Lytechinus pictus: one gene and its partner. The protein of the gene in region 1 binds, or shares a complex with, the protein of each later gene. Links are inferred from orthologs where the notes say so. Each region holds a gene or a part of one and is shown on either strand. Other genes may lie near its edges.

Region 1 (3,926 bases):
CTTTTATTGCTTATTGTTATCCCCCCCCCCCCCAAAAAAAAAACAGTACACAAACACATAATTCATGAGAGCCATTTCTCAATTTTGCAGAACATTTTTAGTGAGACACCAGAGCCATAATTTCTAAAAGAGAAGAAAATATAATTTGTATCAGTAGGGTATAATTTTTACTGATCATTTCGGACCAGTAAATCTTGCCATTTCTGAAAAGTTACTGGCCCCAGCAACAGCAATTTTTACCGGTCTGGCACCGTCGGACCAGTGCTAGTGTCGTGCGTGCGCTGGTTTATTGATATGTGACCATAATGACATTGGGACTTTTTGCCTTTGCGACTTTCTAGGAAAATGATTCTTCGGTCTTCTGCAGATACATTTCTTTTTCGGAAAACAAGACTCAGAGTTCTTTCCCTATTCGCTAGCACGTCAAAACACACTAAAACATGTCCCAACAAAAAATTTAAAATATCCCCAAAACTTTGAGATAATCGACATTAAATCAACAACTTGAAATTCTGATATTTTTTGCCGACATCAATTTTATTTATCATATCATGTTTATTGGCGGCGTGCATCGCCTATCATCATCCATTCTGATCACAATTCACAGCTCTAGTCTGACTTACACTACAGTACACTACACTGCAGGCATACAGCATTAATGCTTTCCATAAATTGGCTTAGCTGCATAGCCATAGTCATTCTAGGCGGCTAGGGCCTAACCTAGGCGGCTAGGGCCTAACGTTAGGCCCTAACGCCGCCCTATGGCTATGGCTATGCTATTGCTATGTCGCGTCGTGACGCGATTTACACATCCGACTTCTTTGCGGAACTTGGAGTTGCCCCGCGAATTGCGTCGTCGATCGCGTGTGACGTGTGTAGGCCACGGAAATTGAAGGCAGAACTTGCCATGCCACACACACATTTTTTTCGGGGGGGTGTCTATTTACCGCTAATTATTTAGGGAAAAAAAACATTATTAAAGTTACACCATACACGAACCTCGATCTATATGATCCTGGAGATGTTTCTGCATTTTCTCCTCCGTCATTCCCCATGCTTGAGTCGTCATTTTGCTGATTCTGAGCTGAAAAACCATCGCTCCCAGGCGCGTCTGTTTCTTTCTGTTCATCCGCCATGCTTGGTAATTAAGAGTTGCCAATTTGATTATTAATTTCGCTTTTATATCTAAGGGTTTTATACAAATAAGTATTTTTCTACTTATAAATATATTATTTTAAAGAAAGAAAATAGCTTCGGGGTGCAAAAGAATAGTTAATGCAATTCTTGAACGACGTTGCAAATTAATATGCGACCTTACAACACAGTAAATGTCACCGGAATCTCTGAAAGCGCCACGCCGCCTCCATCGGCGGCATAGCTTGTACGTATTTTTACGAATCGTATTGCTGTTACGTTGCGGTACAAAACACGTGGACCAATCAACATCATAAGCCTAAAAATGAAGTCACCAGCAGCAGTAAAGAATGGGATTGATCGCGCTGATGATGAAGCTGAAACACAAGAACTCACATATGATGAACTTGTTGCTCGTGTCTCACCCATAGCAAATCCTTTGGCTTCAAGGAAACTCACGAAAAAATTGTACAAAGTCATCAAAAAAGGTGAAATTGGAAATACAGTCCCATTCATTCGAATTTACGTTTGTGTTCATATTTATAAAATTATTTTATGTTTGTAATGTAGCCCACTTACATTGACGAGTGGATACCATGACCATGTGCAACCAAAAAAACACGTGAAAAGGATGTCTTTTTCAAGATAGGGTACGTTACGTAACGTAAACTAAATGGTAATATAAGGGTGTCAAAAACACTAAAATAACAGAAAAAGGGTAGGCCTATCTATTTTTGCTACCTACTAACTACTTCCAGTAGAGGCGCACGGCCAATATTGGAGACTGTCTCCAATGTGGGAGATTATCTCCAATATCAGAGACTTTTGTAAAGAATTTGGGTATCCAATTTCAGAGACAGTCTCCAGTTTTGGAGTCCAATTTCCTTTGTTTACATTTGCTGCAAAAGGATTACCTTGGCGGCAAATTAAAATGTGATAAGCAGATTCCTCATGAAAAATTACCCCTTTTCACCGTCTACTTTAAAAATTCACCGTCTACTTTTATTTTGATAAGGAATTTTGTTGTCAATCACACACAACACAAACAGACAAACGGGCTTCTGACCTCAGTGAGACAAAATTTTGGGTGGAAAAAATCATACTTTTGTTGGTGTTGTTTCTTTTGTCCTTTTGCAAAGCAAGTCTCCAATGTGGGAGATTGTCTCCCCTATTGGAGAGAGTCTCCCATATTGGCCGTGCGCCTCTACTGACTTCACTTTACGTATTTAGGGTCAAATTTGCGATGGTATAAAAATAAAGACTAAATTGTTTTATAAAATTAAAGGATGTACTTTTTGCCCAAAGAGTCAACACTACGTCACTTTACGTGTTTAGAGTACGATTTGCGCGAGGTGTGGGAGGTGAGGCTGTACTAATAAACCCAACGATTGTAGAAGGTAAAACCGACGTCAATGACATAATTAAAAATAAAATATTGCTGTACTTGTTTAGGGGTTACTTATTTACTTGGATGTTGAGACATAAAGCAATATGCTTATGTGCCCCTCGTTGAGTTTCTTATCTTTGGTACAGAAGGTCTGTACTTCAGAGGTTCAATTCAGAGAATACTTGCCAAGAGTATCGTTTTGTTTCCAATACTTAATGTTAAGGGTAGGGTTTCATCACACGCAATTACTTGTTATTGTTAAGGGGTGCATTTTCAGAATATGGAAAATCCGTGTTTACTTAGTTTAGGGTGCTTTTTCGAGACCCCATGGTCGCGCATGGTATCCACTCGTCAATGGAAGTGGCCCTCCTGGGGTTTGTAGATGGCGGTATGAGAGTTGGAATGAGATGAATGCGGTATGCCACTTGGAATGAGAAGAATAAAATTATCACTCTAAACCACATTGTCATTGAGTTAAAAATTTAATCGCCATACTTTTTACATCGAAACAAATACATTCAAAAGTATTGCAGAGACCAGGGGTGGTATTCTGAAAATTGTCTTAACCTTTCTTGTAATTCAGCAAGATAAAACAGCTTGCTAAAATTCTCTTAAATCGGTATTCTGAAAATTGTCTTATCTCTGACTCTGTAAGGACGTCCCCTATTTTATCTCTGACACGCCAAATATTTTATCAACCAATAATTAAACTTTTTATCAGTAGAGGCGCTGGTCAGAAAATTGGGATTTTCCCAGTTAATACTGTTTATACAGATCTGTTTCGGTCAACCAATAGAAGCGTCCTTCTTAAAAAATTGTTAAGTGCATTGTTGACACGCCGCGTAATTTCCTTTGCGCCACCGATGCTTATGCTTGTACACTACTGCGCTAAAATACATGTGGCTTTTCCCAGAGTCATATTTTCTTTGAAAAGGACCATCATCTCGAATGCCAATTTTCAATTGCTGAAGAGTCTAACAATCCGTAGTTATAACTTCTTTGGAATGTCTCCTTTTGTAAAACATGATGTTCTTGTGGGATGCAGCAAGAAATTATTATTGTTGACTGAGAAGTATCGCATTCAACATTAAGTTACAATAGCCCCGTACCTCTTGTAAATTTTCTTGTATTTTTGCAAGGAAGTCATCAGAACGCAAAGATAAGAGAATTTTCAGAATACCTTTTACATACGGTATATCTCAAAATGTTATCTTGCGCACAAAGATATTTAGGCGCCTCATTACGCATCATTATAGCTCTGACATACGCGCTCAGTGAAAGTTACAAGAAAAGATACAAGAATTTTCAGAATACGGATTTTATTATACTGTAACTCCAGAGATACAAGAATATTTCTCTTAAACAATTTTCGGAATACGGCCCCAGATTTTTCTTTGGTTTCATT
Region 2 (3,926 bases), on another chromosome or scaffold:
GCCCGGATCAAATTCAACGCCGGCCCCGCGGCGCTAATTAAGTTTCGAACCAACTTCGAGAGAACTTCCCACCAGTAATTGTTCGCAAATGTCATATGACATCGAGATCGAAGCCGAAAGGCCCGAAATATAACCGTTCCCGACATTCGGTAAAGTGGTGGGTATATATTATCTTAAAATGTGATTGAGAGACTTGCTATATGAAATATGTTATTGTTAACAATGACTTTCCGCTATTGCGGAAAACGGACGTAATTCACGGAATCAACCTTTTGAAACGGAAAATGGCTTTTCAAACGAAAAATCACGGAAAACATATTTTTTCTCTAAATGCACAGAATAGCAACAGAAATTACTCCCAAATTCTCAACGAAATACAAATATCAACTGGAAAAACACACGATCTAAAGCCTAAAAAGGAGTAAAGCCGAGGACGAGGTAATATTAATAAACAATGCGCCTATGACAGTACGAGTATGAGTATGAATAGATTATTTCTAGATAGATGGCGCTATATAAATGCCTATCAATCATTATTATTATCTTACTTCGCTACAACAATCATGACAATCCACACATCGTGACTGCACTCGAAATTAGTTTACACTCACGACAGCATAAAGCCAGTATTAAGGCAGAAACACGGCCATGTTGCTGCCCTCTGGCTCTGCCATGTCTGCGTTCGGACTTCGGTCTTATTATCATGATCGCGGTATTCCACAAATCCAAAATGGCAATTAGGCGAAAGTCGTTGACTGCTCAAAGTCAAACCTATGTCCAAAAATTCCCCAAATCAGCAATAAAATCTCAGTTAGGGTCTAATGATTTTTCTTAATAATAATAGTTTTTGTAGATCTACTCGAATCTCTTCAATTAAAATTGATTTTAAAGCAATGTTAGTACAGTGGCAGATACAAATTTTGACCTCGCGACTCATTACTAATTTAGTCATTGCCATTGGCAATTCCGTTTAACGGAATCGTCAATTTTCCATATACACAAAAACAGAATTTCCGTTTCGTCTAACCCAGGAAGCTCCCGCCCGCTGCACGGGCGGGAGCCTAGGAGCTTACCGTGTATTTGACCATAGTCACCGAACTAGGGTGATTTATGGTCTAAATATTTCTCCAAATGAATTGTGAAAACAGAAAGTATACCTACCACGATTATATGGATGAAGGTCTAACGAGTGGCAGTTTCCTGACATCTGGGCACAGACTGGAACCTCAAAAAAAACGAAAAGTTCTCTCCTCTACCCCAGTCTCGATCGGCCATTTTGTTACGATTTTTAACAAAAATGGCCGATCGAGACGGGGGTAGGAGAGAACTTTTCCGTTTTTTTTAGGTTCCAGTTTGTGCCCAGATGTCAGGAAACTGCCACTCGTACTTAGACCTTCATCCATATAATCGTGGTAATTCAATTGTATACTTTCTGTTTTCACAATTAATTTGGAGAAATATTTAGACCATAAATCACCCTAGTCCGGTGACTATGGTCAAATACACGGTAAGCTCCTCATGCTCCTAGCTCCTGCCCTGGCATGCCTGGGCTCCCTCCCTGGGTTACGTTTTGTCCTGCTGAAACAGAATTTGAAATGTTTAAGATTTTTCTAAACCGGAAGAGGCAATTTTTAGAAACAGGAAAATCATTGTCCCTATCTATTGGTGGGGAAATTCTCTCAAAGACAAAGTCAAAGTCGGCAGGTGCGAAACTGCATTAGCACCGGACCCGCCGAACGGCGATAGCTAGCGAACTCACCGCGAGGAGCCTCCGTGTTTGGGAGTGGGAAGCTCCCCGCTCGGGCCGGTCCGAGCAGAATGGAATTACCGTATCCGCAGGCCGGAGCAATGCTCAAATGTTTTATCTTTAATAAAAAATTTGGGAAGACTGTTAACAAAATGAATATTAATTATAAATGGGGATATTTATTTCGAACCATACTAACCTTGTGCACTTACGCCAATTTACTTTGAAAGGCAGAAATAGTGGGTTTTACGACACGACAGTATCACAAAGTCAACCTAAGCTAGCACCCACGTGTCTCGGTTCCAAACAATATGTTACTTCGTCCTCACAATGCAATGCGACCACTTCTTTCCAAAACATCGACCCACAGTAAGAACAAGTCTACCATTGACTCACATTCATAAAATATGATTAGAGAGAAAGGGAGAGAAAGGGGGGGGGGGGAGAGAAGTAGTCTTGAGGACGCAATGATGATGACTTTTAAAATCATGTCATAATGATGAAGAAGTATATATATGACAGGATTTTAAAAGTCATCATCATTGCGTCCTCAAGACTATAGGGAGAAGCACCTAAAAGAAAAATAATTAGACTTTATAGAGAAGAGATTATGAGATAAGATGAAAGAGAATACAGAAATAAGTAAGAGGGAAAAGAAGATGGTATGAGAGAAGGGTGAACAGAGGAATTTATATTAGACTCGGGTGGAAGACGGATCGAGAGGCACAGGCATAGTCTGTAGTAGACAACTAGTGAGAAGCGGACTGATTACTCATTTTTTTTGGCAAGAATCATACAGAAAAAATGAACTAAAATATAATTTTTTGAAGAAAAAAAATTGACAACCCCGATTAAACCTTTTGCACAATGTCAAAGAAAAAAAATTGGTTCATAAACAGTTCAACTACGGCCCGCGAAGCTTCTCAATCCGGCCCGCGAGACTCTGCTGGGTTTTTTTTAATCACTTTTAATTAAGTCACAATATGAAACATAGCTCAATATGATTACATTGTGTATAGTTGTAGACCTAACCGTAATAAAAGTAATGGCAGTCAAATTAATTTGACATTTAAACAAAGTTTAGTGGAGCAGCTGTCTGTTCGATCTACTTTCTAATTATTAGATGACTAGAGCGCTGTTCTCACCATGTTTGGATCTACATACAGGTGCGAAAGTGCATTTTCCACAATGAACATTTTAAAGAATTAATTCATACCGAAGTACCTTGACAGGGGCCGCGGAACGGTTTTGAAAGTGGGGGGGGGGGGGGGGCTGGCCATGCAAAAAATCACAATCATATGGTAATTTTTACGTTTTTGTACACATGGTTTTGGGTGAAGCCCCCCCCCCCCCCCCGCTTCCGCGGCCCCTGCTTGACCAGTGAACATTAATTTTGCACCAGTGCCTTCGTCTGGCAATTACACCTTTTGTGTCAAGGTTCAAGCAACTTGTTGCTGACAGACTGTCACTTTTCCCATATTGAAAGTGACTATAGGAGACTGACATCCTTGTGAAAGTCTACAACAGACATGCTCTATTATTCATTCTACTTTGACTACAAAAAATATTGATACTTCAATTAAGACATTATCTAACTCCCCAATACCAGGTATGTAAAGGTATACAATCTAGATTCCTTTTAACAAAGTACTACAATTTTGTTATCAATATTGACTCTCGCTGTATTTTGAAATCTTTTCTAATTTTGCCTGCGTTCCATATGAAACTGTTATAAATTTGTTGGATTAAATGCTCCCAAAATAAGACAACGGCCAGATTGCACAAGAGAGCATCTAGGACCCCGGCCGCAATAGGGTCTTTGCGCTTCGCGCACATTTTTTTCTAAGTATCCACTTCACCCTGGCCCTTTCAGGTATACTTGGAGTCTCATCTGGCCCTTCACAAAAAAAGTTTGAGAACCCCTGATATAGACAGTGTTAGAACAAGTGGATAGGTAAAATGTGTGAAGCTCAGTGGCGGATCCAGGGGGGGGGGGGTACATCAGGCCCATGCACTCCTTCGAGAGTCATATAGTCAATATTTTTAATGTAAATATGCCGTTCTCACACAAGTGTGCCCCCCCCCCTCCTTTATAAGTTAGCATGATGGGAATATGCCATTCGTACACTAGTGAGCTAGTCCCTAAATTTCTTTTCCTCTTTTTTTGCATAAGGATTTA

The links.
Region 2: H/ACA ribonucleoprotein complex subunit 2-like protein (region 1) and H/ACA ribonucleoprotein complex subunit 1-like share a complex: the UniProt entries of both Drosophila melanogaster proteins name them as parts of the box H/ACA small nucleolar ribonucleoprotein (H/ACA snoRNP) complex. The link is inferred for Lytechinus pictus from reciprocal best matches to the Drosophila melanogaster genes NHP2 and Gar1.

Annotation. Positions count from the first base shown.
Region 1 is NC_087256.1:25,670,154-25,674,079, reverse strand, and holds the start of H/ACA ribonucleoprotein complex subunit 2-like protein, read left to right. Parts: upstream 1-1,325; 5' UTR 1,326-1,459; coding exon 1,460-1,622; intron 1,623-3,926. Other genes in the region: uncharacterized protein LOC129272326, read right to left, coding at 1,000-1,136. UniProt on the Drosophila melanogaster protein: Component of the box H/ACA small nucleolar ribonucleoprotein (H/ACA snoRNP) complex, which catalyzes pseudouridylation of rRNA. This involves the isomerization of uridine such that the ribose is subsequently attached to C5, instead of the normal N1.
Region 2 is NC_087262.1:10,790,134-10,794,059, reverse strand, and holds the start of H/ACA ribonucleoprotein complex subunit 1-like, read right to left. Parts: upstream 2,283-3,926; 5' UTR 1,947-2,282; intron 1-1,946. UniProt on the Drosophila melanogaster protein: Component of the box H/ACA small nucleolar ribonucleoprotein (H/ACA snoRNP) complex, which catalyzes pseudouridylation of rRNA. This involves the isomerization of uridine such that the ribose is subsequently attached to C5, instead of the normal N1.